2 linked regions of the Oryzias latipes genome follow. The protein of the gene in region 1 interacts with the protein of each later gene in a pairwise test. Links are inferred from orthologs where the notes say so. Each region holds a gene or a part of one and is shown in the gene's direction. Other genes may lie near its edges. The genes, in order: efhc2 and ncdn.

Region 1 (3,781 bases):
TCAGGTTTCTAAACAACTGAACTGACTAATGTCAGATGACCCTGCTCATATAAGAAAAGCTTTACCACATTTACCACAATGAGCGCTTTAATCCTTTTAATATAAATCTGTTTACTCACAAAAAAAAAAAAAAAAAAAACCTAATAGGTAATTCTAATATCTTGACTTCAAAGTCGTGAGAGCAAAGACACTAACCGCCTGTGTTTTGTTGAACGAGGAAGCCTGCGGTTAGCATGGAAAACAACCAAGAATAGCTTTGTCATTGGAGAAAAATCAAGTGGAACACCAATCTCAGGATTTAAACAGAGCGTATAGTGTACAATGGTGTGTTCAGGTTCTAAGTCCCAGTTCTATGGAACTGGTTTAGTTTTGCGATTTCATACTTGACGCTACAAATAGCTTGCTGTAGGCTGTTGTTGTGAAGGCTGTTGTTACCAAAAGAGGGAGTACTGCAAATTTTTTTCCACACCTGAAACAGAAGCCTTCTGTCAAGAAGATAAAGGGCAGCTCTCTGAGAGATGCTCAAGCTAGCGGCAGCTCACAAACCTATGACAGCTTGTATTTCATTGCACTTTGAATTCAGACCAACTTCCAAAAGAGACCCTGAAATAAAACAGTCAAATATATCCCGTCATTTGTCATGTTTGTTAAAGAGTAAAAGGAAGGAGACAAAAAACATTGAAGTTGGACACTGAATTTGGTCTGGAAAAAAATGGGACATTTTATTTTTTGTCCATATCCCCCATCCCTGATTAAAATACTGAAAGAATCTGCAACCTGAATACAAATGAAACTGAATATAATTTAGTTTTGTCTCAGATTTTCTGTGCAAATTTCTTTCTGTGCTTCTATGCCTAGGAATATGCTGATGGATCTAGACTGTGGTCTTGTGGACCACGAGGTGCTGGTTCTGGGTAGAACTTTCTCCGAGCAGCAGCAGCCTGAGGATGATGTGGCCTTGATGTTGGCCGTGGCACAGGACACACTCAGGAGAAAGCTTTACGATGACTTCCAAAGCCTGACCCTAGCCTTTAACAAACAGGACCCACTCAAGTAAGTGATGTGCACACAGCGTCACTCACGTGCCTTTTAGTGTGAGGATAAATGTTTTCACCACAGAACACTCACCAACACAAAAACAGGGTAATTGCTCCACAACTGTAAATCAATCATGAGGCCAGTGGCGCTGTTCCTCAGAGCAGGATTTAATTCAAGTTTACATGAAGGAAAAAGTGGAACCAGATGGACGCAGAAGACCAGCATGTTGTTCTGGAGGACGTAAACACACACACCCTCCTTCATCTCTGCGTTCCTCTCTGTTCTACTTTTCTCTGTGTGCTTTCAGGAGGTCTGCAGCTTAGCTAGCATGGACAGCTGGAACACGCAGCGCCACACTGACGCATCTGTTAACGGCGCTGTTGACAACCTCATTTACTGCACATTGTTCTTTAAATTAAGATGGCATGACAACAATGCTCTGGGAAAACAACTGAGGATAAAAACAATTCTGCACTCCTTCTTTGAGACCACCATTAAAATATCAACTGGAAAAATGAGACTAAAGGGGGAATCAATTAGTTCTGCTGACACTAAACCAGAATCTTCAGTTAATTAAAGGAACTCTCCATTCTATCTGTTTTGGTTACCGTGGGAACTAATCCTGACTTCTTGTAGGGAACTTACAATGGCTTGTGTGTTTTTTAAATCTTGATATAAGTACAGTTAACATGGTGTAAAGGTTATGATTCAAATTTTGCTGAATCTCTAAATGTGATTTTGCCTCCCTCCCTCCACTCCCAAATCACCTTCTTCTTTGCTGGGGTTTTTTGGTACGACGTTCTGAACTTCTGGAAGAAGGAATCTCCAACAGTGAAGCAGCCAATACAGCAGCATGTGGCAGGTTTTGGTTGTCTCAACATTCAACCAATGAAGCCTCATTTAGGAAGGACATGTTTCTTTGGAGTCCTTCCTCCCTTCTAAATATTTATACCAAAAAGCAGTGCATGCATGCAGTTTATTTTTCAGTTTTCCTCCTTTTGTTCTGAAATCCTGGCTGTCCACTAATGAGACACTGAGCATTTTTGGCCAAACACTTTGAAAGCTGGTCTCGTCTTTGAAAAAGTTTTCCTTTCAACTTCTCCAAACAAATATCTTTCTGTCTTTTTAAATTTGTACGGTCATGAACCTCAACAATCAGCCTTCTGGCTGAAGTCTGTTCAGTCCATGATGTAGCTGTAGGGATTCTCTGTTTCTTCTCTGAGCTCCAGCCCACCTGACCCTGGGAAGAAATGCGCTCGCCTGCAACAACTGGCAGGTGTTTTATCAATCAGTCGGTTTTATCAGTCTGTGAATATTATTTTGAGTGAGGAATAATGGACCACAAACAGTTTTAGAGTAACACTTCCAGTATACACAAATAGCAGCAAAGATCAACACTAATGTGTCTCCAGACCAACTGCTTAAATATACATTTTTACTTTTGATAAATTATCCACATGTAATTTGTAAGTACACTCTAATTTTTCCTCTTAACTCATGTTTAATGGTCTCTGTTCATCCACATCTTGATGAATAAATGAAGCTGTAAGGTAGAATTAGTCTTGGACTGGGTGTGGTCTATTGTTGGCCTTTTTTCCTTTCAGGTCTAATCTTCTGTAAGTTTTTGACGACTGCATCTGTCCAACATCTTCTGCAAAGTGATCTGATTTAATTAACAGTTTGACATTTTGAGTAGATTTATGAGCTTTCCTTTTCTGTCTATAGAAACGGCCGCATTCCCAGGAAAATGGCGTGGAACATTTGTGAATCTGTTCATCTCCCTGTTTCCGAGAACCTGTTAGGAACTCTGCTCACCAAGTAAGAATCCATATTGCTCTGACCTACTTTCACATTTTCAGAGAGTTTTTAAGTGTTCATTTTTGACAAAGACACCAGCAGCTTGTGATGTGCAAACACTCAGGCCACAAATCTCCATGAATCGATCTGCATCACCTTTCTGAAATAAAACCAGGACTCCTTTCAATGCTCTAGACACACAATTGACCAGCTGTTTTTTTATCAAGTATTTCAGACATTATATAATCCTCTTCCAATCTACAGGTCTACAGTAGTTTTATCTGTCAAACTATAAGGGGTCGTGGGAGGACCAATTATAAAAGCAGTACTCAGAATAAAGTTGAATCGGTTTTCTTGGCAAATACTAGTACACTTGAGGTTTATTTTATTTAGTAAACTTGAGTATAAGTACAGCGAGCATACAGGACATACAATGTTCCCTCTTTTATTGGAGGAGATGGGTTCCATAAAGAACCTGCAATAGGGGAAATCAGCGAAGTAAAACGACACATGTTCTGAAAGTCCGAACCTTCGTAGAAAAATAAATCCAGTATTATAGAATGAAAACAAATATCTGATCACAACAGAAGATATATGTACATTTGGAAAGCTGCACGTATCTGTACAGGAGACACGGCACAAAGGAGATTGATTGGCAATGTCAAAAGCCAATCAGGATGCAGACCACAGTGCGCTGTAAGACAAACGAAAGTTAACTGCGTCATAGCAAGGGACCACTGTATACTTCATGAATACTTCTTCAGATTAAATTGGAACATTTTAAGTTTATAATAAATAGATGGTATATAAAAAGTAAAATTCAAGTGTACTGGCTCACATTTAGTATAGAATAAGTATACTAATAATACTTTATTGTGGGACTCAAACAGGGATGTGTCCTTGACATTTTCACTAGAATTGTCAAGATCAGTTATGGGTAAGTGCT
Region 2 (4,386 bases), on another chromosome or scaffold:
TTAAGTGGACTCATATTTTGTTCTTTAAAATTAATTATTTTTGTATCTCTTTAAAAAAATCAAATGAAACAATGTTTAAAAATCTTGAATCGCACCTCAGTTTTTTTTATTTGTGCCTTTTTTCTGCTGGTTGATCTTTAAAGACTTAAGGAGTAAGTTTACTGTTTGTGTTTTAAAAAGAATATTAAAGTTAAAGAAAATCACAGACACTTCTTCCGGTTGAATTTCACTGCATAAACATGTTTCAACTAATGCAGCTAAGATGTTTAAAATAAGTTGTTGGTTTTCATAGTCTTACTTTTTTTCTATTTTATCATAATATTAGTTTTAGCTAAATTCCATATAAATAACAGCAACGTTTTTGACAACAAAGCCAAACTTTTCCTCTTAATAGAAAACTTGCCGAATATCGAAAAACAATCTCTACTACCTTTAGCAAAAGGCAAGTACACCTGAAGTTTACTTTATGAAGTAATTATGAATATACTGTAAGTAGATCATGTACGTTTAGTATAATTTGTATATTAACTAAATACTTCTTCAGACTAAATTGGAACATTTTAAGTTTAACATGTACAGGCAGAATTTTAAAAGGAAACGTCAAGTATACTAAGTATATAGTTAAGGGTAATCTTAATTTCAAAAATATATACATACAACAATTACAAAGCCTATAAATACTGTTAGCTTATGTAAATCTTTAATCCTGTTTACATTAAACAAAGTCTTGCGCACTATTTATTTAATTACTGACTTTTTCTTCTTTTTCTTGTAATAATTTTTTGAAAATCTATCTATCTATCTATCTATCTATCTATCTATCTATCTATCTATCTATCTATCTATCTATCTATCTATCTATCTATCTATCTATCTATCTATCTATCTATCTATCTATCTATCTATCTATCTATCTATCTATCTATCTATCTATCTATCTATCTATATTTATGTTCAGGTGTGTAGAGTCGAATTGTTCTGTATGTTTCTTAAACACTAATAAAGTTATTTGAAAAAAGAGTATACTGCCAGTTAAAAAAAGAAACAATTTAATAAGATATAATTGATACTTTGAAATAAATTAGTAAACAATGAACGTTTAAAAATATTATGTCGAGTTTTTACCAAAAATAATACTCAAAATTAAAATTGCGTTGTTTCTCTAACGTCACAACGCCCAATACGTAAAAAATGGCGTTGGTGCCTTCCAGCAAACCTCGCTGTGATTGGCTCGCTGGGACTGCATTTCTGTTTTCATTGGTTGCGGATTTTGTTTTGACTACTTACTTCCTGGTTGGACCCCATGAGCTGTATTCCCGCGTGCTTATGGAGTACCACTAAGGTTGTTCATTTTCTGAAGCTTTAGATTCTATTTCTTCAGTGCGTTGACTAAGTTGGCCTGTTCCAACAAAGATAATTAAGAATTTTGGTTCCGTCGTAACGAGTCTGCATGGCTGACAGCGACGAGTCTACTTCTCCTGAAACTGAAAAGGAGCAGGGGAGAGGAGGAGAAGAAGGGTGTCTTACTGACACACAGGGACAGATGTTAGACAGATGTCTTCACGCGCTCAAGCAAGCGAAGAACGATAGTCACACGTTAGCCGCCCTACTACTGGTAAGTGATCAAGCTACACGATGAGTTTACTGGTTAAGATGGAGAGTGGTCGTTGCCTAGCAACAAGTCCAGTCAGCTTCTAATTACAAAAAAATGCTTTTATAAGTTTAATTACCTGTGATAATTCAAGTGTGAAAGCCTGTTTCCAATCTGAATACGGTTTTTGTTTTACAAAAGGATTGTGATTTTTACTGAAATTGAAAAAAAAAACTTTGTTGAACAAATAGGCAAAACAAGAGGATTTCATTCAAACAAAAGCTCATAATGTGTCTCTGGGTTTTCAGAGCTATGGAAAAAAATCTCATTTGTTGTAAAAGGTGCCCAAAAGTTTGGAAATTGAACCCTGAGAGTGGTTCTTGCTGCGCCTCCACAGATCACCCGCGTGTGTCCGGCGCGTCAGCTGGACAAACGCAGCCTGCGGCGCATCTTTGAGGCGGTTGGGCTAAACCTCCCAGCACGCCTCCTGGTCACAGCCACCCGGGAGGATGTCCCCGCAGGCATGGCCCCCTCTGACCCCCTGAGTCTGGGAGCCACCCTGCTAGCAGCTCTGAGCACAGACCCAGACATGGCTGCTCATCCGCAGCTCCTCGCCACCGTCCCCTTACTACTCAATCTCTTAGCTAACGGATCAAAGCCGGGTGCTCAGCAAAAGCCTGGAGGATTGAGTCCAGAAGGGGATGAGGGGTCAGATGGAGGTTTAGGTCAAGATGGGAGTAGTGGATCCTCCTCGTCACAGCAAACATTCCAGCTGGACGAGGCCACGGCCGCAGACTGCTACCAGGTGCTGACCTCCGTCTGCGCCTTACCTCAGGGTCCGGAGCTGCTCCTGAGCAGGGGGGCCGTCCCCGCTCTGTGCCAGGCTGTAGAGCAGAACCAGATCCTGAGTCGACAGCGGGGCCTACCCCTGCTGGGCCACCTCCTCTCTGCAAAAACCAAGAAGAAGGTTTGGAATAAACACCCAGCAGAGCTCCTCGCCTTGCTGCTCAGACTTTCCACTGACTTCTGCCGGGCCTCAGAACCAAACCGGCTCAGCTCGTGTGCCCAGCTGGCGCAGTTCCTGCCCCCAGCAGGGATGGCGATAGAGAGCAAGGAGCTCAGGGATGCCATGAGCTCAGTGTGGGAGCAGTTGAGACCCATGCTGCAGTCCAGGCTAACTCCCAGACAGATCGGGCCCATCCTGGTGCTCTGCGCTTGCCTGCTGGATTTGTACGGCTGGGACCAGGCGGGACCGCCTAAGTTCTGCTGCCTGCTGGTGAACCGGGCTTGCGTGGAGGTTCGGATGGGTTTGGAGGAACCACCGGGGAACGAGCTGAGCCCGGAGCTGCAGAACACGCTAACAGGTAAAGTACAAAAAAAAATTGTGACATATTTTTTTTTCTTACTCAGGGTGTGAAATGATTTCATCTTTTAAAGACCCGCTCCGATAAAAATGATGTTTTTAGTCTTTTTAACATTTTTCTGATGCTGGAGGACATCTATAAAGAAAGTTATGCACAAATTGGCATTTCTGATTATTTCTTTATTTAAATTGTGTCAATCAGGAGCAGATGAAAAAATGCTGTGGGAGTGGGACTTTTAATATAAAATATATATATTTATTGTATAAACTATAAACTTCTGAGGATTCTGAGCTTCAGAGACAAAAACGTTTAATCAATTTTTATAATCTATAAGAAATCACCAATAAACATAATTTTTCAGCATTTTGATGTTTTCCAAAGCCTCTAAAGATCAAATGATGGGATGGAAAATATCTCAAATTTAAGTTAAAGTTTATGTTCTATCATGTATAAATTATATTAATTCAGAAAACTTTTCTAATCTGGGGGAAAAAAGTCCTAAAACTGTCTTGGTTTATGCTCGTTTCTCCAATGGTTCTCTGTTTTAGCTTCTCTTTATCAGTTTTAGCTCCGCCCTCTCCTTCCCCACCAGTTCTCTACCTCTATGAAGTGTTCTTGGTTTGTTCTGGTTCTGTTGAGGCTCATGATGTTTTTTGTGGGCTACTTCATCATGTTCCTCTTCAGAACCTCAGAGATGAAGTCTCCTATGTGACCCGGTGTCCTTTATCGCAGGCTGCTACAGGATCTTGGAGGCGGCTATGGAGCAGGCCTGCAGCGCCGTTGATGCTCCGAGCCCCGCCCCTGCCCTCCCCGCCCTCAGCCTGCAGCAGAGCCGGCAGGTCCTGCAGGTTCTCGAGGAGGCCTTCTCTGCCGTCATGTTCTACCTGCAGCAGGTGACGTCTAAGCCCCTCCCCCCAATACTTCACTTCCTCCCCCTGGGCTTTGTGGATCATCTCTAACTCCATCTTCCTTCTCTTTTATTGTTTTTGTCAGGTGGATGCCAGTCGTTATGGCGACCCATTTGTTTTCGCCTCCTTCCGCTCCCTGTGCTCCTGGCTGGCTGAGGAGACTTCCTGTTTGAAGCAGGAAGTGATAGATCTGCTGCCGTTCCTGGTCGGGTACGCACGGCACCACCTGCAGGGCGCCGCTGCCGAGCAGAGCCTTTCTGACTGGATGGCTAAGGCGTCCGTCACTGAGGAGGGAGGGGCGTGGACGGGTGGAGAGGCTCTGAGGTAGAGATGAAAGTTCTGAAGCTGCAAGAATCAAACACGAGCATCACCTGACCGTATACACCCCCCCCCCATCCACCGCAAAGGTACCTCCTCCCAGCTCTGTGCCACCTGTCGGCAGAAGACGCTCCGAGGAAGGTTCTCCTCGGCCTGGAGGCTCACAGCCTGCTGGTGGATTTCCTGAAACAGAGCTGGACATCCC

What was found.
Region 2: the proteins of efhc2 (region 1) and ncdn interact in binary tests that used the Homo sapiens proteins (3 or more experiments, as listed by UniProt). The two-hybrid records come from large-scale screens. The link is inferred for Oryzias latipes from reciprocal best matches to the Homo sapiens genes EFHC2 and NCDN.

The regions. Positions count from the first base shown.
Region 1 is NC_019879.2:12,523,020-12,526,800, reverse strand, and holds part of efhc2 (EF-hand domain-containing family member C2), read left to right. Parts: intron 1-858; coding exon 859-1,053; intron 1,054-2,763; coding exon 2,764-2,856; intron 2,857-3,781. UniProt on the Homo sapiens protein: Microtubule inner protein (MIP) part of the dynein-decorated doublet microtubules (DMTs) in cilia axoneme, which is required for motile cilia beating.
Region 2 is NC_019869.2:19,981,001-19,985,386, forward strand, and holds the start of ncdn (neurochondrin), read left to right. Parts: upstream 1-1,274; 5' UTR 1,275-1,450; coding exon 1,451-1,615; intron 1,616-1,899; exon of another isoform or gene 1,900-1,988; coding exon 1,989-2,955; intron 2,956-3,687; coding exon 3,688-3,848; intron 3,849-3,948; coding exon 3,949-4,187; intron 4,188-4,270; coding exon 4,271-4,386. UniProt on the Homo sapiens protein: Probably involved in signal transduction in the nervous system, via increasing cell surface localization of GRM5/mGluR5 and positively regulating its signaling. Required for the spatial learning process.